Linked DNA regions of Cricetulus griseus. The protein of the gene in region 2 purifies or fractionates together with the protein of the main gene of each other region. This does not show direct contact. Links are inferred from orthologs where the notes say so. Each region holds a gene or a part of one and is shown on either strand. Other genes may lie near its edges. The genes, in order: Trib1 and Stk40.

The links.
Region 1: the proteins of Stk40 (region 2) and Trib1 purify together in Homo sapiens (affinity purification with mass spectrometry; 3 studies listed by BioGRID and IntAct, counting the BioPlex papers as one, with this or other methods). This does not show direct contact. The link is inferred for Cricetulus griseus from reciprocal best matches to the Homo sapiens genes STK40 and TRIB1.

The regions. Positions count from the first base shown.
Region 1 is NC_048603.1:27,983,430-27,994,464, forward strand, and holds Trib1 (tribbles homolog 1), read right to left. Parts: upstream 7,732-11,035; 5' UTR 7,701-7,731; coding exon 7,332-7,700; intron 5,509-7,331; coding exon 5,216-5,508; intron 2,849-5,215; coding exon 2,383-2,848; 3' UTR 533-2,382; downstream 1-532. UniProt on the Homo sapiens protein: Adapter protein involved in protein degradation by interacting with COP1 ubiquitin ligase. The COP1-binding motif is masked by autoinhibitory interactions with the protein kinase domain.
Region 2 is NC_048595.1:26,938,165-26,949,254, forward strand, and holds the start of Stk40 (serine/threonine-protein kinase 40), read right to left. Parts: upstream 6,352-11,090; 5' UTR 5,967-6,351; intron 5,783-5,966; exon of another isoform or gene 5,590-5,782; intron 1-5,589. UniProt on the Homo sapiens protein: May be a negative regulator of NF-kappa-B and p53-mediated gene transcription.

The DNA.
Region 1 (11,035 bases), on a different chromosome or scaffold from region 2:
TTGACTTGCCTGTCTCAGCTTCCAAACATGACAATTTGCAAATACGTCCTACTCATTCAAAGTGTACATGCTCAGTGACACATAAAAAGCAGGTTCCAGGCAGGCATCCTAACACACATCTCAGAGGCAAGAAAATCTCTGAGTTCAAGGCCAGTCTGGTCTACATAGCAAATCTCAAGTCAACCAGAAGTATATAAGACCCTGCCAAAAGGCAAGGCGGTGGTGGCGCATGGCTTTAATCCCAGCATTCGGGAGGCAAAGGCAGGTGGATCTCTGTGAGTTCGAGACAAGCCTGGTCTACAAGAGCTAGTTCCAGGACAGCCTCCAAAGCCACAGAGAAACCCTGTCTTGAAAAACCAAAAAAACCCCACCAAACAAAACAAAACACCCTGTCAAAAAAGCAACCAAACCATAGTTGTCTGACTCTCTGCCGTCTTCTGTGAGACACTAAACACCTAAAGTCAAAGGGCATCTCATTGTGGCCTGCGACAGCTACAGGAAGGCAGCGTGCACACAAAGGAGACTCACCACATTTCTTTACGAAACCAGATTTATTAAAAGTTCTCTCTAAGTCACCAACAGTGTGCCACTACCACCTTTCCACACGCGCACAGGAGACCTAGTGTTTCCAGCTGTCCGGGCAAATGCCCAGGCCAGCCCGAGTCCTCAGCCAGGGAACGTATCACAGATGCAAGAGCTGGACAACCCCAACAGAGGCCTGTCCCTGCTCCTCCCCGAGTCCCACCATCTGCCAAGGTCGTATGGCCAACAATCATTCACATTTCACATGGCCCTGGACACACAGGTTCCTCAGACAGACACAGACGACAAAACAAGCTTCAGAGCCAAACGACAACAACCGGACATTATGTATAAAAGGTAAAATGTATGTACAAATATAAAGTACACAGTACGTGAGGTATACAAGGCATTCTCACAACGTTAGTAGTTTGCCAAGGCATAGCCCTTGAAGATGTCTGCCTGCTGCTGTGCCAGTTCACAAAACACAGCATTTCTGTTACCCGTTTAAACCACCTAGTTTCAGCACTGTCCCAGACAGTGACTGCTATTTCATCTGTTATTTTTATTTACTTTTTTTTTTTTTTTTTTTTTTAATGCAACTTCTGGCAGCTTCTCCGAGAAGCTTCGTTTCTGTCAGGGAGTAAGTCCGCGTTTCCATCCCCGGAGGCATTCAGGCCGAGGCCTGGTTCCCACCTGTGGAAGCTGGAGCAGGGGATTTCCCTGCAGCTAGAAGGTAGAATTTGCATTGGATGGATGTTAAAAGTCCTTTCCAGCTCCATCTCTGAGGTTCACTCTGTCCCTCCAGAGCCAGCATCGAAGATGGATTCACAAGCCACACAACAGGTGAGGTCCAAAGAGCCCTTGAGGGGGAGCTGAAGACCCTGGATACCAGAGGCACAGCACCCCACGGGAGGGCGGGGTCCAGTTTCATTCTGGATGTCAGACATTTCCAAGACTTTCTTTGAAGCCCAAAGACGGTTCACATATGCTCCTGAGAGAGCACCCTGTCCTCGCACACAAAAGGTTCCACCCGGAGATGGTCCTGGGGCGAGGGGTAAAGGCTAAATGCTATTATTTGATGAGCGCCTCAAGAGCTAACAGATACCAAGTGATCAAATTAATTTAAGAAAAAAAAAAAAATCGCTGTCTGACCGAGCTCAAAGGTTCTGAACCAGGAGTTTGCATCTCCCAGTATTTTTCCATGATTAGCCGGCGGGTGCTTTCATAGCTGCAGAGGACAGGTTCCAGGGAGGGGGGAGGGGCGTGGCGCTATTGCATAGGAGGTCTTGGCAAGTTCTGGGGGACAGTCTGGGTTCAGGCAGGCTCGGGAGCTTCTCAATCTGTCCCAACACCCAACACTGTAGCCGTCACAGGTGAGCGCACAGCAAGGGTGAGAGTTAAAAAAAAGAAAAACTTCTGGTCGGAGAAACCGCAGCAGCCAAGTGGAGCCTTCAAAGACGGCAGGTTTGTCACCTCAACCGATTTGCCACCTTGCTAAATAAAATGCCTCTGTGCGATGTGCTTCCTTTCCCATTCCAATGTTCAAGTTCATTACACCTGACCATGTGGGATGGCCACAGGCTTCCACTTCCAAACACGTGGCGCCCTTGTATCGGATAGACGCTGGGACAGTCATGACGGTTCATCGAGAAGGGGACACCCCTGGCGAGGAGCTAATCTGAGTGTGTGCTGCTCAAATCAAGTCACTCAGCCTAGAGAGGTGGCACCACACTGAGCCCCATAGGGACAATAGTGCTCTGTCCCCAAATCTGGCTGGCACCGTGTAAGAGGGCCTGCCCATCATCAGAAATGGAAATACCATGTGTGAGAATTACGAGGTTTCTGAGGTTGTTTTTGGGATCAGCACAAGAAGGAACTAATGTCATTTTCCTCTTGGTATTCGGGAACAATCTGGTCCAAAGTTCCCATTTCTGAGTCAATGTACCCTGGTTCCAAGACATACTCAAACCAGGGGTGGAGCAAGATCTCGGGAGCTGTGAGTCTCTCCGAAGGTTCTCGTCTCAGGAGGCTGCGGATGAGGCACCTGGCTTTGGGAGAAACGTGCTCAGGGATGCAGAACTGTCCACGGCGGATTTTGGAGAAAAGGGCACTCGGGTCTGAGTCATGAAAGGGGTATCGTCCAACCAAAAGCGTATAGAGCATCACCCCGAGGCTCCAGACATCCGCAGCCTTCCCTGAGTAGGTCCCAGTAGTGTTGAGGATCTCAGGGCTCACATAGGCCGGGCAGCCATGCTTGTCTGAGAGGGCGTCATCTTCTCCCTTGATGATGTGTGTATCTTCCAGGCTTTCCAGCCTAAGCTGGGTTCTGTGGGAGAGAGAAATAAACGGAGTGATTATTTTCAGACCGTCTGCAACGGAAAACCAAGGCCTTCCCAATAACAGCGCCCAGAGGCACTCACAGCCAAGGCTGCAGGAATACCATTTACCCTTCGTCTAGTAAGCGCTGGCCTGCAAGCACCCAAGACCAGCGATTTCACAAACCAATACAAACTGCAATAAATATTTGCAAAGTATTGAGAGGCCCGGGGCGGAGGGGTATGATGCAAAGTCTCAAACAACATTCACGAAGCTAGGGCTTGTAAGAGATATCCTAATAGGGTTACACAATTGACAAAGTTCACATTGCAGAATGGAGAGCTGGTTTCAGAGCAAGACTGGCATGTTCTACAAAAGCTGTCAGGGGAGAAGCAAACATAGGTGTCCTCCTTCCTCAGGTAGGGCCTGTATCTCCTACAGGCCACTACACTAGTCTCTTAGCAGGACACTGCCCAGGCCAGTTGACACCACTGACCACACTAAGGAAATTCCGTTCACCCGAGTCCCAGCTGCAATAACCACAATGGGAAAGTTGTTCAATTGTGATTATTGGGCTGTCTCACTGTAAGAACACTTAGCTGAAACCTAGAGAAATTAGGCGAAGAAACAAGAGGCTGATGGATCTGAGGGTTGCAGGGACCCTACACAGGGACTGAGGCAGATCCTACACGAGCCTCTGTCTTGTGGAGAACCTCTGTTGAAGAAGTCAGTGGAGAATGCGAAGGAAAGCACAGAAACCAAGACTGAACTGGAAAGAATAATCTAGAAGACCTTTGGCCAAAGGAACGCTTACGAAGCTGCAGGTGCCTCCCTCCCTAGGTAGAAGCAGCCACCCACATCTCCTAGAACCCCCACGGCCACGTGGGGCACCTCTAATTTCCGGTGCCTGCTTCTCCGAAACAGACCTATTTCAGTAAGTCACTTCTTGTGTAGTTACGTGCAAACATTTGGTCAATTCCTTTTCCTCTCAAAGGTCTGGTTTCTTTCTCTCTCTCTCTCTCTCTCTATTTTTTTTCTCTTTTCCAGCCTTCCTGCTCCCTGGAGTGAAGCACACATGTACTGACTTCGGTGTGTCCTCAGCGTGACCTCCCTGTTATGTAAAATACCCATCGGTTCTGTAAACGGAAAATATGACTCAACCCACACTGTCTGCCCCTGATTGGCTCCTGTAGGACTAAAACCCTGCACCTGTGCTGGTTACATGAATAGCGTCAGCCTGCCGTTGCTTAACCCTCGGGTTACCAAACCCTATGCCCATGACACCGGCCTGTGCAATGCAGATTTCAAAAACCAGCGAGGAGGTGTGTAGCACATGTTTCAAAAAGAGGCATCAGCATATTATCAAAGAAGCACATTCCAGGAACTGGACGCCTCTTCGCAGCAAACAGTTTGCTCCTCTTTGCTAATCAGTATGTTTCAATAGCTAGCGCAAGGTCAGACGCGAACTCATACTTTGAGGGCTTCAACCCTGTACTTTCTAGACCCTCGCACACCCCCCACCCCCCCACCCCCGCCCAGTTAAAGGTAAAAGTGACCAGGTAGGGTACTCCTGTGTAACTATATTCAACAAAGTCACTCACTCGAACAAGGCCAGTTCCACACTCTACCTCTCCCCACCACAGATATGGTCTGTGTTCAGGATGAAGTGTGGGGCATCTCACACAGCTTCCTGAGTTCTCCTGGTGAAACCTCCACTTCAAATCTTAGTGTCTCCTCAGTCCCTTATCAAGCACACCTTGTCCTTTATGAGGTAAGCCAAGAACTATATTTAGCGGTGCGTGCTAGCCAACTTCCATTTATTCTTCAATGTGGGTATTTTCTGAAGATGGAGCCGATGAGATGGCTAAAATCTCACCAGAAAATGTGAGCAAACCATTTCGGGGTGTGGGGTGAGGGTACCAAGGTTAAAACAGTGCAGGAATGCAGTGTGGTAGGGCTGGCTGGAATTCTGCAAACACAACAGCCTAACCAGCTCTGTCATGTCTTCTAGGCACAGCCCAGGCACTGATGGAAGCCAGGATTTGACCACCTCTTGGAGTCTGTGCTTTCCAGGACAGGTGAACACCTTTTCCCCGTTGGACTGACCTCCCTGACAAGAAAGCCTGAGCCTGGGACAGAAATAGAAGTGTATCTGTCATTAGGCAGCATCCTCAAAAGCGCCAAGGTGTCTCTAGGCTTCGCCATCCAACAGGGCAAAGAATGAACCAAGGTTGACCACAAACTTCCAGAAGCATGACTTAATACTAAACCAGGCAAGACCTGAGCCTTGGGTTTGGCTTGCACCTAACTGCATGACCTGTACCTTCAGTTTTTTTGGTTCCAAAGGGCCACAGGAGGTGCTGTGGCAGCTGCTCACCTCTCCTCCGTGGAGAAGACAAACTTCCTAAGCTTCAGGTCCCCCAGCACGATGGCCGACTGGTGGCAGTGGGCAACGGCGGAGACTATCTGCTTGAAGAGCCGAGCGGCCTCCTCTTCCCGAAGCCTTTTCCGGCTTCGCACATAGGAGTGCATGTCCCCAAAGTCCTTCTCGAAGAAGACGTAGGCCTTGGTCTCCCCAAGGATTACTTCCACGATGCCGGTAATGTTTCTGTGCGACGGCAGCTGGATGTAAGGCCTGATTTTGTCCTGGTAGTGTTTAATGGGAAACACCTGCGGAGATAAAGTGACCTGTTTAGGGGCCAGAAGTTCAGGGGCTGCCCGCCAGGTCCTACATGAAGCTGGGCTGAGGTCCTCAACCTTTGGATAGTCCATTCTCTCTGCCGTTTATGCAGCTCCAGCTGCTATGATGCCCTTAAAGCAAGTCACACCTTGGGATCCCGGCTAGCAACTTCCAAAGCCTACCCTGGTCCACACATACTTTTGTCTTTTAGGGGCCTGGTATCAGCTCCTGGGAGCCGAGCCTGACGTGGATTGGATCTTCCTAATAGATAAGGCTTGCTACAAGGTAGCTAAGGGAAGGGACCCCAGCATCCCTGCAAGGGTGAAAAGCAACAATGAAACACAGAAGGCTCAGCTCAGCACAGCCAAGGAATGTGGCGATTTCGCTGCCTCCAAGGGGAAGCAGAGGCAGCAAACATGTAGAGATGTCATTAGTCAGAGGGACTGATGACTTGGAGGGAGAGACTGACAAGGCTGCCTTAAGCAACCTTCCTATGGCTGTGACTCAGGTGGAGGCAGCCTGGGGTGTACCTTCCGACAGGAGGGGATGGGCACCTCAGAAAAGCCGTTTTCATCTGTTTACACGCCTCCCCCCACCTTAGTTGCCCCACCCCCAGAACGGAGGGCAAATCCTCTAAGAAGCTGCTGGCTGGTCTCTTTAAGGGCCTTTTGTTCACTCCGGTTACTCATATCCTAGACGCAACTGGAAATGGTGACACACGGGCTGTCACCATCTGGATTCAGCTATTATCTGCTCGGAGGAACTGGAAGGGGTTGCACAATGACCCAGACCCACCCCACCTCTGAGGTGGCTGCTCTGGTACCAACTGGGGGGGGGAATCCCTCTGCTGCTCTCTCCTCCCGCCCCACCCACCCCTCCACACAAGTTTCTCTTCCAAAACTGCTCTCATCCACCAAGAAAAAAAGGTTTTTTCCCCCCCTCTGGGCTTGACCACGCATCTGAGATTTCACGCGAGTAGACAGTAGGTGGCACCAGCAAGCGGGGAGAGGGGAGTTCAGGTGAGCTGCTGAAAACCCAGGAGCCACTCTTAACTCCAGGGGAATGAAAGCAGTCGGTGGGGGCTCTCGGTGGACCAGGGTGTGAGCGTCGCGCTCACCAAGCACAGACCGTCCACGGCTCCGCGCTCTCCAGGAGAGCCGGGCCATCCCCTATGGAGTTGTACTCCCCCTAAGGTTGCAATAAAAACTGGCGGACGCAAACTACAGCGAGTGGAAGCGAGAGCCCCTGGGAGCTCCTCAACACTCTTCTCAATCAGGCCTGGAGCCCCTCCCAGGCTTAAACCCCCGCAGGCCCGCGACTCCCTGGGGTGGGCTGTATTCTGGTTCCAGCCAGAACCCCCTGGGTAGAAGCCGGACACCGTGTCTGCAGAGCCTGTGCCGCGAACGTCCGGCTGAGAGCCTGCCAGCTGCTCCAAGCCGGGAGGAGGCACCCACTGCAGGGCGTCCGTCCAGGGCAGGGGGAGGAGGGGGGGATGAGAGCAGGGCAATGGCATGGCCCTGGAATCCATTGCAATTCCAAACTTAAATGGGACGCCACGCGCTAGCCACACTTGAGCGCCAAAGAAAAAAAGCACCGAGATGAACCCCTCCACTTGCCCTAGACCGCGGGTCCCTCAGCAGAACACTCCACAGGAAAGCCCTCAGGGGCGAAGCTGACCAAAACGCCCTCTTGATCCGACTTTTCAAAGCCCTTCCTTAGCGGCTCTGCCAACCCCAAAGCTCCGGCCGGGGCGCGATCCGGGGTAGCCAAGCCCTCGTGCCAGGCCCGCAGCCCTGGCCCCCGGGATGCTTACCTTGCAGCGCAGCTCGCGGCCGGTGTGGATGCACAGCGCCCGGGACACATGCTCGCGCTCGGCTAGGGGCAGCAGCAGGTAGTCGGCGATGCGGCTGGGCCCGGGTGCGCTCGCACAGCTGCCGCCGCCGCCGGTCCCCTGAGCGGAGGGCGGAGGCTGCGGGCTGCAGGGCGAGCCCGGGGGACTGAGGTAGTCGGGGGGGCTCGAGCACTCGGAGAGGCGCGGACACTTGGCCGCCACGGCCGCCGCGTCGTCCGCGTCCAGCAGCCGTTTGGCCGGGGTAGCCCGGGCGGCCGGGAAGAGCAGAGCCGGAGCCGAGCGGGGCTGCGAGGCGCCGCCGAGTGCAAAGCGCACGGGACCGACCCGCATCGCGGCCCTGGCCGGAGCGGCCCCGGCTTTGGAAATCCCGGGCTCGGCGCTGCGATTCCTTCCAGCCCTCGGGATGCCGTTGGCAGACGGAGCTCCGATCGGTCCCCGAGAGGTGCGCGACGACAGCCGTTCCCGGACGCCGGCGTCTTCCACACGAGGACCACGCTGGCCACGCGTCCGGGCTGGGGAGGGAGGCCACCCGGGGTCCCCAGACTCCCGCGGCCACCAGGTCTGGGCGCCTCGCGGGCGGCGGCGGCGGCGATCGGGGCCGCTATTGTTGCCGACGCTGGGGGCTGAGTCCCGGGACGGGGAGGCGGCCCGGCTTCCCCGGCTTCCCCGGGTTCCGGGGCGCTGGAGTCTGGAGGATCGGATTCCGCAGGCTCGGTGGCTTCCCGGAGCCAAGGCACTCACTTCCAAAAGCAATTAAGTGGGGAGTAGAAGCCGGCACAACTTTGCCGCGCCGCTCGGGATCCTGCGCGCTCCGGGAGTGCGAGCGGGCGGGCGGGCGGTGGAGCGTGCGAGCCGCGCTCAGAGAGAGAGTGGCTGGATGTGAGTGTGTGCGCCGCACTGATGCCGGCCTGTGCGCTCCTTCTCCTTTTCCTCCACCTCCTCCGCCTCCCGGTGACTCACGCTGTATACACACACACACACTCACACTCACACACACACTCACACACACACTCACAGGCCGGGCTGTGTAAACAGTTGGGAAGCCGGGTTGTGCAATGAGGTGGCTGCGACGACTCCAGCCCCGTCGCCCCGGCTCACAGTCACCGGAGCGGAGGGAGGAGACTGGGGAGGGGAGGGGGGGAAGGAGGGGTGATGGAGTGGGAAGCGGGGGACAGCGGGGGTGGCCGGAGGCCCGGGGATGCTCCCGACTGCGCGCGCCTGGGCGCAGGTGGGAACGTCCGTCCGTCCGTCCGGGGCCGTCTTGGGCGCGCGCGCAGGCATGCACGCTTGCACGCTTGCACGCTTGCACGCGCCCCCCGGGGCTAGGCTGGGCGGCAGGCTGCGCGCACCCGAGCGCTGGCCCCGCGGGCTCGGCGGCCCGGAGCCGAAGGAGGGGGGCGGAGGAGAAGCTCCCGTGACGTCAGGGTCCCGGGGAAGTGGGCGGGGCTGGGCGGGGGCGAGGCGGCCGCTGATTGGCGCGCGCGCACCATTCACACAACACAATGGAGTGCGAGCTCCCGGCCGGCGCGCGGCTCCCCTCCGTCCGGGCTCGGCGGGAGCCGCTGGCTGCAGCCCCGGTGGGGACGTCCCCCGTGGCTCTTGCACTCCGGGAGCTCCCGGTGGAGCTGCGGGCGCCGCCGAGTCGCGGCTGCAGCCCGGAGGAAGGGGCGAGAGGGAAGGTGATGCATTCCATTTGCAGTCATTCACCACCACCCCACCCCACCCCCCCACGCGGTAGTTCCGGGGAAAGACCTGTGCGTGGTAGTGAGTGTGGCTTTTTTTTTTTTCTCTCTCTCTCCCCCTTCCTTTTCCTGCCTCCTCCCGGCTCTAATCCCCAGCGTCTGTTCGCTTCCACAAATAGAACCTTCTGTTGGATGAAATAAAAGCAAACACTGGGCCTTCTGCTCTGCCTCCACCTCCACGCCCCTCCCGCTCGCCCGCTCGCCCGCCCCGATTTGCACGGAAATAGCTTCTTCTCCAGGCTCCTGGGCCGCCCCTTCGCGGTGACTCGCAGAAAGAGCTTCCTGAGCTCCGGCCGGTGGGAAACAAAGGATGTGGGGAACTGGCGGAAGGGGCCCACGTGGCAGCCGCCAGATTCCTGTCTCCTCCCGCCTCCGTCCACGCCCTAGGTAGGGTCTAGGGCGCCAGAGCGGTCCAGGGTATTGGAGTACCGGTCATTGGATCCACCGCCAGGGGTAGACACTACACTACCTGCACCCGGACAAGGTCGCGTGTGCGCGTTCGTGCAGCCTGAGTTGGGTGCCCTTGGAACTGGCTTACCCTGCTCTGGAAGCTGCTTTGCAGTCACATTTTGTGTTGTTAGGGTTTCTGTCCCCTCCCACCCCCACCCCCCCTTTCGCAAACCAGGTCAGTTTGGAGTCCCTGGATCCTCACTCAGCACAGATACCTATTATCAAAATCCTTGTGCTTATGCTGAATAATTAATTTTCTAAAACCAGGTCAAGCCCAAGAATAAATCCTTTTCATTATTAATTCTCCAGCCATTCAACAAACGCTAATTAAGCATCTCCAAGGGCTAGACGCTGGGGATTAGACAACTTAAATTGAACCGGTAATGCTGGGATGGGGTGGGGGGAACAGGCTCCTTGTTCTTAGCGCTTTGCACACCTTGCTACACTTTGGTTCTGTGCTCACTTCACAGGGTTACTTTTTGCCCCAAGAAAGAAACGGAAGCCTAGAACTTGCTGTGTCTCCTTGAAAGGCTGTCTCCCGAGTCTCCTTCCAAGGCTAAGTGCTAACAGCACGCAAGGAGTCTCCGAAGAGACTACATTTGTGAGACTACAATTTGCATAGAAAGGAACCATTAGGGGGACCTCCATCTGCAACACCCTGGACCTGGGTTAGGAGAGCTGTTAAGAGGAGAGCTATGAACAGTGGCTGGCCAGGAGGGCTAGCCAAGAAGGACAGGGCAGCTCCCAGGAAGGCAGGGAGCTGATCTTCACAGGTTGTTGGGAGCTAGTATGTTTAAGAAATTTCTCAGCCGGGCGTTGGTGGCGCCCGCCTTTCATCCCAGCACTCGGGAGGCAGAGGCAGGTGGATCTCTGTGAGTTCGAGGCCAGCCTGGTCTCCAGAGCGAGTGCCAGGATAGGCTCCAAAGCTACACAGAGAAACCCTGTCTCGAAAAACAAACAAACAAAAAGTTTCTCTAAACCTGGAGGTGGTGGTGCAGGCCTTTAATCCAAGCACTCAGGAGGCAGAGTCAGGTGGATCTCTGAGTTCTACAGAGCCAGTTCATCGTAACCCGTTTACATCACCAAAGACCACCATTGTTTCAGGACACCTCAGCTAAACACTGAGATGATCTTCACAAACTCACTTTCTCGAGCTCTCTTAGCGCTTTGCACACCTTGCTACACTTTGGTGGGAGCCTCTGGAAGACCAGGAGCAGGTGGGAGGCAGAGGAGAGTTACCAGGAGCTTCCCACATCTACCCTTCTCTTTGAGACTGGACTCTCCTCCCTGGTTGCCGCAAGGGCATAGCAGAAGCTCTTTCGGGAACCGCCTTGACAATCTTCACACTGGCCATCCTCACATCCAGTGACTATCTCTGGTGGAAGGATGATGGCCGGGTCCTCTTGCCAGGGCCTCTGCATTTCCAGTTTCCAAGCCCCCAGCTGGAGGCCATGGAATTCTTCTTAGATTGCA
Region 2 (11,090 bases):
GACTTTTTGGCCAGACCTGGAAGGTGCCAGCCATGGTGTCCAAAGTCTTACAGAATGCTGGACCAATTCTCCCCAAGACTCAAGTAATTCTCTCCCTAAAAGTACCCCTGTAACACACCTCATCATACCAGCTGTGCCTAGACACAAAGACAAAAATAAGTCAATCCTTCTCTTTCCAATTCCCACCCTATGACAACCCACTCTCTTCCTTTTGGACCCTTGGGCAGCAAACTTTTTTTTTTGGTTTTTTCGAGACAGGGTTTCTCTGTGGCTTAGGAGGGTGTCCTGGAACTAGCTCTTGTAGATCAGGCTGGTCTCGAACTCACAGAGATCGCCTGCCTCTGCCTCCCGAGTGCTGGGATTCAAGGCGTTCGCCACCATCGCCCAGCTAGCAAACTTCTTTAAGGCTAAAGAGTCTATGTCTAACCCTCTTGAGGGTAGGTGGCAGTCTGCATGCATATTTAGAGGGGACACCACCTCAGGTCTGCTTCCTGACAACTAGGATGTCCTTGCAGTCACCAGGCCTGAAGAGAGCTAAGCCCCAGGAATCCATATTGCCACCCACCCTCACTCGCTTATCCCTATATCTGCCACAAGCAGGAGAAAGATGATTGGCTTTATCTGCTCACTCAGGAGTAGCATACTTGCTGGGGTTTAGGAAGGCTTGGCACTCAGGAGGCTGAGAAAGGAGGGTGGCGAGTTCAAGGCCAGCTTGGGCTATGTTGTAGGTCTGAGGACAACTTGGGCTATTATAGAAGGACCTTGTCAAAGAAGAAGCAAAAGCAGCTCTTTGAGGCAATAGCCCTTCTAGGCATTTGTCCCACACACAGATATTTAGGGTGTGCTAAATCACATGTATGAAGAAAATCAGGGGTTGGAGAAATGGCCTACTGGTTGAGAGCATTTTACTGCCCTTGCAGAGGACCTGGGTTCAGTTCACAGCACCCCCATCAGGTAGCTCATAACTACCTGTAACTCCAGGTCCAAGAGTTCTGACGACGCGCTCTGACCTCCATAGACACGCGCATTCAGTGAACATAAACTCATGTGACCACACACACATACAAACAAAAAATAATTTGAAAAGGGAAAAGAAAGTCAGTCCAGCTAAAAGCCTGCTCAACATTTACACTCAATACGGTGCATGATGTATCCTAGAAGGACAGAATGCACCCTATCAATGGAACCATCTCTAAAATAGCAAAAAAAAACACAACACTAGCTTCTCCCCCTGGGTTCTTGATTCCAGGGCTTGGGAAGATGTGTAGGGGAGTCTGGGGGCCACCTTGAAGCTACAAACTTACTTGAGAAGGTGGTGGAGAAAAAAAGATACTCTTGCTTCAGGCTGCTTTCCTATATCCAATCCACCCCACTTTTTAGACAGGGTCTAGCTAGTGTAGTGTATCACAGGCTGGCTACAAACTTGCTATGTAGCAGATGATCAGCAACTTGTAAGCCTCCTGCTTCTAGCTCCCCAGTGCTGAATTACTGGCATGCACCAGTACACCCAGTTTTTATGCACTGCTAGGGACTGAACGAGGGGTTCCATGTATGCCAAGCAAACACTCTACCAACATAGCTGCCAACACTCTACCAACATCCTCAAACTTTCAAGTTTTTTTATTTTTAAAAGATTTATACACTATGTTTTGATCACATTCTTTTTCCTCTTCCAAACCTTCCTACACAGTATTTTTTTTTTTTTTTTTGAGACTGTTGTACTATGGCTGGACTTGAACTCATAGCAATCCAACTTCTCAGCTGCCCTGGTCCAAGCCCCCACTAGCCTGCCTGTGATTACTGCAGCACTCACTCTCCCTGGCCCATCTTTCTTCTGAAGCCAGAGGGCTCTTTGGAAGATGAACTTTAATGTGTCTCCAGCACTCAGGCACCAACAGAATAACAAAGTTGGAGCATCTTCACTGGGTACCTACCTACTTACCTCTCCAGAACGTCCTGCAGCCAAGTCCTGTTACAGTCTATGATAGAACCCCTGTGGTACCTAAACTGTCACACACATACACACACACACCTATGTCACACTGCTTCCACTGCCTAAAGTGCTTCACAGGACCCCAGGAAACTATCCACTTCTCAAAGTTCTAAGGGCTCTCCAAACCTCTCCTCAATGTCCTCGTCCCCAGGCAAGTCATACCTTCTGTTCCCTTGATTTGTACTTCATACTGCACAGACTTCTGGGAATGATTCCCCAGGGCCTGTCTGTGCAAGTGCCAATGGATCAGGGTGCCTGTCTTCTCTGGACACACCCTCCTTCAAAGCAGAGTCTGTCCTTCCCCTCTTCCTGTACCCAGCTCGTGACAGTCACATGGGGAAATTCACAGGTGCACAACAGAGACGCTCTACTTTGAGCCACCATATACCTAAGCATATGCATACATTATACCTGATGCACCACACATATATCAAATGTGATGTTTCCTGAAGATGCTAACTCAGGTTCCAGACTAGGCTCATTAGTGGGGACTCCAGAGAACTTAACATACATTTTCTCCAGTTCATACTTTAAAATACTATTTATCACTGGGTGGTGGTGGTGGTGGTGGTGGTGGTGGTGGTGGTGCACACCTTTAATCTCAGCACCCAGGAGTCAGAAACAGGAGGATCTCTGAGTTCTAGGCGAGCCTGATCTAAAGAGTGAGTTCCAAAGACAGCCAAGTCTACACAGAGAAATCCAGTCTTGAAAAACAAACAAAATGCTATTTATCTGCCAAACTTGGAGGCACAAGTATGTAATTCCAGCACTATCGAGGCAGAGGCAGGAGGATCAACACAAATTTGAAGCCAGCCTGGGCTACACAGAGAGACCCTGTCTCAAAAGGCCAAAACAAAACAGTTTTATTTCTCAGCAGTTCTACTTTTCTGGGGGTTGGGATAGGGTTAAGACAGAGTCTCAGTCTCTCTCTCTTAGTTTTTCGAGACAGGGTTTCTGTGTGTAGCCCTGGCTGTCCTGGAACTCACTCTGAGGATCATGATGGCCTCGAACTGACAGAGATCCACCTGCCTCTGCCCCCTGAGCTCAAAGGTGTGTGCTACCAATGCCAGGCAAGCCAAGGTATCTTTATGTAGCCTTCACTGTCTTAAAAGTCACTAGGTAAACCATGATGGCCTCAAACTCCCAGAGATCCACCTGCTCTGCCTCCCAGTGCTACCTAGCTCTGCCTCTACTTTTTAAAAAGGTTTTCATAAAAGAGCTGAATGAATGTACATTGCGCCTATACAGACTGGTCAAGTCCCTACTATCTTTTCAGAAAGAATACAATAAAATTCAGTGTTCTCATAACCCCTCATGACAGTCCTGACAGCTCCAGTTCCTGTGAACAGCCTTCAAGTAGTTCCCAGACCTTTCCTGCAGCTGGCAATGGAAACTATCATTTGCTAAGCATTTACCACCCAGTGCATGCTGAGCACTAACCAACCCTGCAACATCTATCTTAATCCTCCCAACTGCCCTTCTGGGGAGGTAGTCCCACTGTTTCTTTTTACAATGAGAAATCTAGGCATAGAGACATGATGTAGCCCCTACTGGCTAGCAGGGCTGGGATTAGAACCAGATATGCTTGAGCCAAACAAGCTCTTAACCTCTACAACCTTATCCATTAAAGGCACAAGAGTGAAAATAAAACACCCCTTACAACCCGCCTTCTGGGAGGGAAGACCTACCTTGCCAGCTGCTTAGGGAACCTGAAATCTCAGAAAGAGAAGGGCGCATGTGCCAGGCACTGCAAAGGGTTAGCCACGTAGCACAGGTTGCAAATGGTGCCTTCTCAACACAGATCCATTACGCCTTTGCCAGCTCTCCTCTTGGAGAAGCAAGGTGGTCTCTAATGAGGTCTCTAGCTCTTTCACCCTCCAGCTCTTCACCTCTCTTGCACAGAGAAAGCTATCTAAAACATGGATCTAGTCATGTTACCCCTCAGATAAAAGCTTTTTACTAGCCTTTGAGATGTCCATTTCCTCATCAACTTATTGTGCTTTGCTTTGTACTATGTCAGCTTCCATACCACTATACTGAGCAAGCTGAGGTTTCTGAAATAAACTCAAATTTTCTGACTCTCTGCAATTCTCTCCATACAGCATCTTCCACTTTATTCTCACCTGGCTAAGCGCCCCCTGCCCCCACGCATGCGTGTGCTCCATCATTCTAGACTGGACTCCTGTCACCACTGTCCACTCTTCCTAGGGTACCCCTCCACTTCGTGCCTCCATGTCCCAGACTGAGCTGGCAGCTTCCCTTACTGGGTCCCCTCAGCATTCAGTTCCTGTTGCTTTTGTAGATCACATTTCAACTATCTACTTGCAGGTCAGTTTCCTCTAACTAGACAGAGAACTAGTTCAGATAAGAATCTCTTTATTATGTGTTGTTAACTTCGTAACTCTCCATAATAATGCTTTATCATTACAGATGTTTTCCAAATGAGGACACTGATACAAAGGGTCCAAGATCACACAACCAGAAAGCTGCCGCACCAGAATTTGAACTTAGGGAGTATGGATCCAAAGCCTACCAATACTGCACAGCACTCGCCTTTGCAGGCAAGACCCTTTTGTTATGTGAAGAATGAATGAATGAATGAATGAATGAATGAATGAGGACTATCTCTGGCAGTCCTAAGTCTAATCTACAAACAACTGGCATAACAAAGCTATTAAGGAGGGCAGGAGGAACTCCCAGCACTGTTTACAAATGGGAACTCTCTGGGCCCTACAGATTTTGCTCTTCCTTATCTCATGCAAAACTACTCAGCCAAGAGGGAAAGGTGCCCAGCCCAGCATGACTACCCTCTTCCTCAATGATTCTCAAAACCAGCAAAGCCAACTGGTTTCCTTCAGTGCCTTAAAACGGAGCAAAGTCTATCCTGCCACTGAAGGCGGCTGTCATCTCTTCCTTCCGCCAACAACCTGGGGGGTGGGGGTGGACAGAAAAGCCACCGGGAATCGGAAAGCTCCCAACCAAGGTTGAAAGGTGGGGCCAAGCAGCGTAGGAATGGGCGGGCCTGACCAGGACCTGCAGGTGAAACATTGACCACAGCAAGCTCTCCCACGGTGAAGACCGGCCCAACGTGGATCTGGCAAGCAGGTAGCTGTGACTCGCACCTGAACGCCGCCCAGGATGTGAAAATTCCCCAGCAGCGATGGTGTCGGTGCCAACGGGTGAGGGCTCCAGGAGGAAAGCCTTGGCTGGCTCTCCCTGGGGACTGACTCGTCCTAACTTTCAAGTCACTCTCTAGGTCAGGAGAGAAGCACGGCGAGGAGGGGGTCTCTGTAGGGGGAAGCTCGGCGCGGGGCTAACGCCCGCTGCTCCAGTGACAGTTTGAGTGGGTCTGGGCAAGGCGGGCAGTGCCCACTCCCCAGGGCTGCGGCGAAGACCCAGGCTCCCGGCGGCCGCCGCCCCCGCCCGCCGCCGCCAAGGACAGACCCCCGACGGCGGAGGGAGCATTCGCTAGTGCCGTTTCTGACGCGCTGGACAGTTTCGAGCTGTCACCGGGGTCCCTCCGCCACGGTCACCGAGGCCCGCCCCGCCAGCACTCAGCCCCCACCCGGCTCGGCGTCCCGGGACACCGGACTCACCTTTCCCGGGGGTTCAGCGCTGCTCGCCCATAGTCCGCAGCCCGGAGCCGGGGCTGCTCGGCTCTCCGTCCCGGTGGCCGGGGCCCGGCCGGGGGCGTGGGAGCCACTCACCGCCGCCTCCCAGCGCAGCCACCCGAGCCGCAGCCGCTGCCACCGCCTCCTTCCATGGCTGCGGCGCCGCCACCTGACAACGGAAGTGACGCATCGCCCCGCGGCCCCTCCCCCCGCCCCCTCGCCGGAGTCTGGGTTTGGGCCGCCATCTTGAGGATGGGCGGAAGCCTTCAGGCAGGAGGCCCAGATAAGATCGCCGATTGGTTCTAGGTGGAATCTGGGTCGAAATCTGTAAAACGATTGGACAACCAGGAGGCGGTACTTACCGCAAATCTACACCCACGGGGACTGAACGGAGGCGCCTCCCAGCCTTGGCTCTGCAGAACCTTGCCGACCCTACTCTCACTTTGCTGCGGTTGGGGACGTCTCTAGTAGCCGCAAGAATCGCCAACTGTACTGCATTCATTAGAAAAGAGGCATTTCCTTGGTCCCCATTTCTCGGCCTCTGGAGATCTGTGCGGTAAAGCGCTTAGGTTGGGTTCAAGAGAAGACAGGACTGCTGTCGCTACGTCAGCAATTCATTTCACTTTAGGCTCTTTAGAAACCACGAGGATAGCCAAGTCCACCCTGGACATCCCTAGAGTCTTGTTCAGGGAGATTACAGTGAAGAGTTCCAATGATTGATCTCAGCCGGCTATCTACCTCACTCCCTCCTGCCACAGTTTCCGTCCCTTTCTCCTCCTCCAGCAACCACGCCCTCCATGAATCAGCTTCTTGCACCAGCAGATGAGCCCTTTAAAGGGATTGCATCAGTCTGGTGACTCACTGGGGGCCCTCGGAAAGCCTAGCTTCCCTCCACTGCCATATAGAAGCAGCCAGAAGGGCTCGGTGGCAGCAATACCAGCGGCCATAGTCCCACTCCTTTGTCTCGAAGTTAACAGGGGTGCTGGATGACTCTATTTTTTCCTCCCCCACCCCCCTCTCCGGGTCATTCTGTATCCACGAGTAGACAACCGTGGCCCCGCCTATGCTCTGCTAGGGGGTAAGCGTGCATTTGTCATCTCCTCAACAAGGTATTGCCGGGACATGAAGGCTGGTCTTAATGAAGTCTAGCTGTCCCAGGCAATATTCCTTTCTTAGTCCCTTTGAATGCTTGGTGACTACTGAGCTGTAGATAAGGCTGAATGACAATAGCAATCACAGCAGCTCCCAAGGTCGTTTCTTATGCAAAGTGAAGCACTTTAGAGACCTGCTTACAGTTCCCGGAGCTAGTGCCCAGAGAGGGGCGTAACCTTTACAATGACACTCAGCCAATAATGGTTGGGCTGTGGTTTGAAGAAAGTTTGGTGGACTCCAAAAGGGTAGCGTTTGAATCCTTGTTGTATCGCTTACATGCTAGGCAACTAAATGCAAATCCTGGCTGTGCAAATGGAGATAACACACCACACCATTTCTGTGAAGGCCCAATGAGATTCAGATCCGGCTCACCACACCCTATAAATGCCCACTGATCTCAGTCCGGGAGCCTCTGTGAGGCGCATGACCCAAAGGCAGGCGTCCCGGAGCGAGGCCCACTTTGCTCCTCTCTCTGACAAAGGGGGAAGACTAAGGAAGGGTTCCGGAAGCCCTGACTCTGACAGGAATGAGTTTTGGGTTTTCCAGATCTCTAATTATCAGTAAGATGAATCACTGGGTGCTGACACCATCGCCCCACTCCCTGTAGACTCTCAGCTGACTCAAAATATAGGATTTTTAACAAAGCAGAGGGGAAGTCGGTAAGAAATAGAAACTAAATATGACATCCAGAGGAGATTTAAAAAACAAAACAAACAACAACAAAAAAAACTGTCATCAGGACACCAACTCATGGATCTCGGGGACATACATGCGTGGTGACAGTCTCCTGCTGGCTCTCCAACTCCAGCTCACTGACAGATGGTGCTGCCATAACACAGTGACACCTGTCATAACAGCTCAAAATGGCTTCTTGACAAGGTATAGGCAGATTGGACTATCACAGGAGGGGAGAAGACCTCATCCCCAGGAGCTTCTTCAAGCTTCAGAACCCCAGCTCTTCTTAGTGTCTGGTTTTTAACGTCTCTGTGTCCAAGTTCCAAGGCCTGAGTATGGCAAGGTTTGGTGTTTGTTTTTGCTTTTTTGGTGCTTGGGACTTAACCTATGGCCTCTTCTATGGTAGTCAGATACTTTACCACTGGGCTGTATCTCCACTGCTTTTGTTTCTGAGGGAGTCTCAATAATTTGCTGGAGCTGGCTCTCTATTCAGCCCATACTAGCTGGCCTTGAATTTGTAATCTGTCTCAATTTACGTAGCAGTTTGGATTATAGGGCTGTACCCACCAGATCCAGTATTCTATCAAGTTTCAAATGTCTAACTCACAGGGTAGATGAGCAATAGACTGTCAAGAGCATTGGATGGCTGGAGATGTAGCCTGAATGGCACAATGCTGGCCTTGGCATGTATGAAGCTCCAAGTTCCATCTCTAGTATTGCAGTAACCCTGGCATGTAATCCCAGTTTTTTGGGAGGTGAAAGCATCCTGCCCAGTGCAGCACTCATTTAACTTGACCTCAGGCTGGGGAAGAGTCCCCTCCCTCTTTAGGCCTGTTTCTTCCTGGGTCCATGGTTCTTAGCCTTTCCACCTTTAAAGACTTTTAAGAACTGGCCTTTTGGAGTGGTGGTGGCATACACCTTTAATCCCAGCCCTCGGGAGGCAGAGGCAGGTGGATCTCAGTGAATTCGAGGCCAGCCTGGTCTATAGAGTTCCAGAACAGCCTTCAAAAACTAGAGAAACTCTGTTTCGAAAACAAAAACAAAACAAAACAAAAAAACAAAACTGGCCTTACTGGGCTGGAGAGATGGCTCAGTGGTTAAGAGCACTGACTGTTCTTCCAGAGGTCCTGAGTTCAACTCCCAGCAACCAGTGACTCACAACCACCTTGAATGAGATCTAGTGCCCTCTGCTGGCATGCAGACACAAGACTGTATACATAATAAATTAAAAAAAAAAAAAAAAAAAAAGGCTTCTTTGCTGGGGCTGGAGAGATGGCTCAGGGGTTAAGAGCACTGACTGTTCTTCCAGAGGTTCTGAGTTCAATTCCCAGCAACCACATGGTGGCTCACAACCATCTGTAATGTGATCTGGTGCCCTCTTCTGGCACTCACTGTATATCATGATAAATAAATGAATAAATCTTAAAAAAAAAATACAAAAAAAAAAAAAACCCACCAAAACCGGCCTTACCTCTAAAGGTCATTTTATTCTTTTCCTTGAAAACACCTACCCCCACCCAACTTGGGAGACAGAGTCTTATGATGTATTCTTGGCCTAGAACTCATTGTGTAGGCAGACCAGGCTGGCCTTGAACTCAAAATTCACCTGCCTCTGAGCACTAAGATCAAAGGTGTGTGCCACCATGCCCAGCTGCTTACTTACAGCCTTACCTCACAGTCATTAAGCTCAGGGTCAGAACCAGCTACCCAGCATGCCCACCTCGATGGTCTACCAGCTACCCAGCATGCCCACCTTGCTGGTCTACCCCCTTGCAGAATCCAAACTGCTTTTGTCATTCTTCACACACTGCACTGTACCTCTGGATCCTTCTGGAACAACAATGAGAACTTCAAGGGTCCTTGTTGCCCTTGTTGGCCCTTCAGCCAGGCTTGCCTGACTAGAACTCACTGGGCTGGTTTAAGTCCCATCTGCTCAGCCATGCTGAGACATGGAACTATCAATGTCCCCTGTGTAGCTCGTGTGAGCCGACTTGGAAGCCATATGCCTGTCTAGCTTTCCGAGCTTCAGTGGACCCCTCCCTACAAACAGTACCTCTTCCCCCACCAAATTCTCTCCAAGAATGAAAGGTGGGTATGAACAATGCTGTTTGAGCATTCAGAGTTCTTGGGGGTACTACCATCAATGGGACCCCCAACTTTGCTTGCAGGAAAGGTGAATGTGAAAGTTTGAGCAAATGCTATGGCAATCTAGACCCCAATGACGTCTTGAAACACATTGCCATCTTTTCCTCGGTGTTCCTGGGTCCCTCTTGTTCACAGCTAAGTCACTCCCATTTGTTACCTCGGGGAATAGAAGACACGACAGAAAGTAGGCACTATTTTTAGTTTCTGAATTCCAAAAGCTCAGCCTTCAAGTAGGAATGGAAGAAAATTCTATGTAGAAACAAATTTAGAAAACCAGAGAAAAGGAGCCTGAGATTGGTGTTGTGTGTGTGTGTGTGTGTGTGTGTGTGTGTGTGTGTGTGTGTGTATGTATGGGGGGAGTGAGGAGAGAGAGAGGAGGGATAGAGAGATAGGGGGGGAGACAGAGAGAAAGACAGAGAGAGACAGAGGAGAGAGGAGCGGAGGAGAGAGAGGAGAGAGAGGAGAGAGAGAGAGGGAGACAGAAAGACAGAGACAGAGGAGAGAGGAGGAGAGGAGAGAGAGATAGCAGAGGAGAGGAGAGAGGAGAGAGAGAGAGGGAAGAGGAGAGAGGAGAGAGGAGAGAGGAGAGAGAAGAGAGAGAGGAGAGAGGAGAGAGAGAGAGAGAGAGAGAGAGAGGAGGGAGTGAGGAGGGAGTGAGAGAGACAAAACACAGCTGGAACTCAGGAGCTGCCAGGAGACAGGAGCGAGCTCATTTCCCTCTGTGAGGCAACAAGACCCTCCAGAGACATGTAGCTCTGGAGCTGTGGGCTGCATCTGACCTAACTGATCTAAGATCCAAGAACTTCTCAGGCCTAACAGTACTGAGGAAAGCAAAAAAGAACCTGACACCTAAGTTGGTTAAGTGGTGTACTGCAATACCATCACTTGGGAGGTAGAAGCAGGAAGACCATGAGTTCAAGGCCAGGTTTGGATGCTTGAGGCTGTATCTCAAAAAATGAACAAACAAAAATCTAACACTGCTGGGTGTGGTGGAGCTTGTCTTTGATTCCAGCAAATCACAAGTAGGGGCAGAATGGGTCAATTCCAGGCTAGCCAGGGCCACATAGAGAAACTGTCTTTAAAAGAAAGGAGCCAGGCAGATCTCTGAGTTCAAGGTCAGCCTGGTCTGTAGATGGAATTCCAGGAGAGCCAGGACTACACAATCCATCTCCAAAACAAAGCATAACAAAGGGGGAAAAATTCGGTGGAGTGATGGCTCAACAGTTAACAGCACTGGTTGTTCTCAAACAGGACCCAGATTAGTTCCCAGTGCCTGCATGATGGATCACAGCTATCTACATTCCAGTTCCAGGGTAGCCAATGCCTTCTTCTGACCTCTAGGGACACCAGATATGTACTCGGTGTCTGTACATACATGTAGGCAGAACACTCATATACACATGGGGGAAAAAATTAAGGAGCATGAGGTGGTGCTTGTCTTGAATTCCCCAGACTCAGGAGGCAGAGGTAGGTGGAGTTCTAAGTCTGAGGTCAGCTTGGTCTACATATCAATC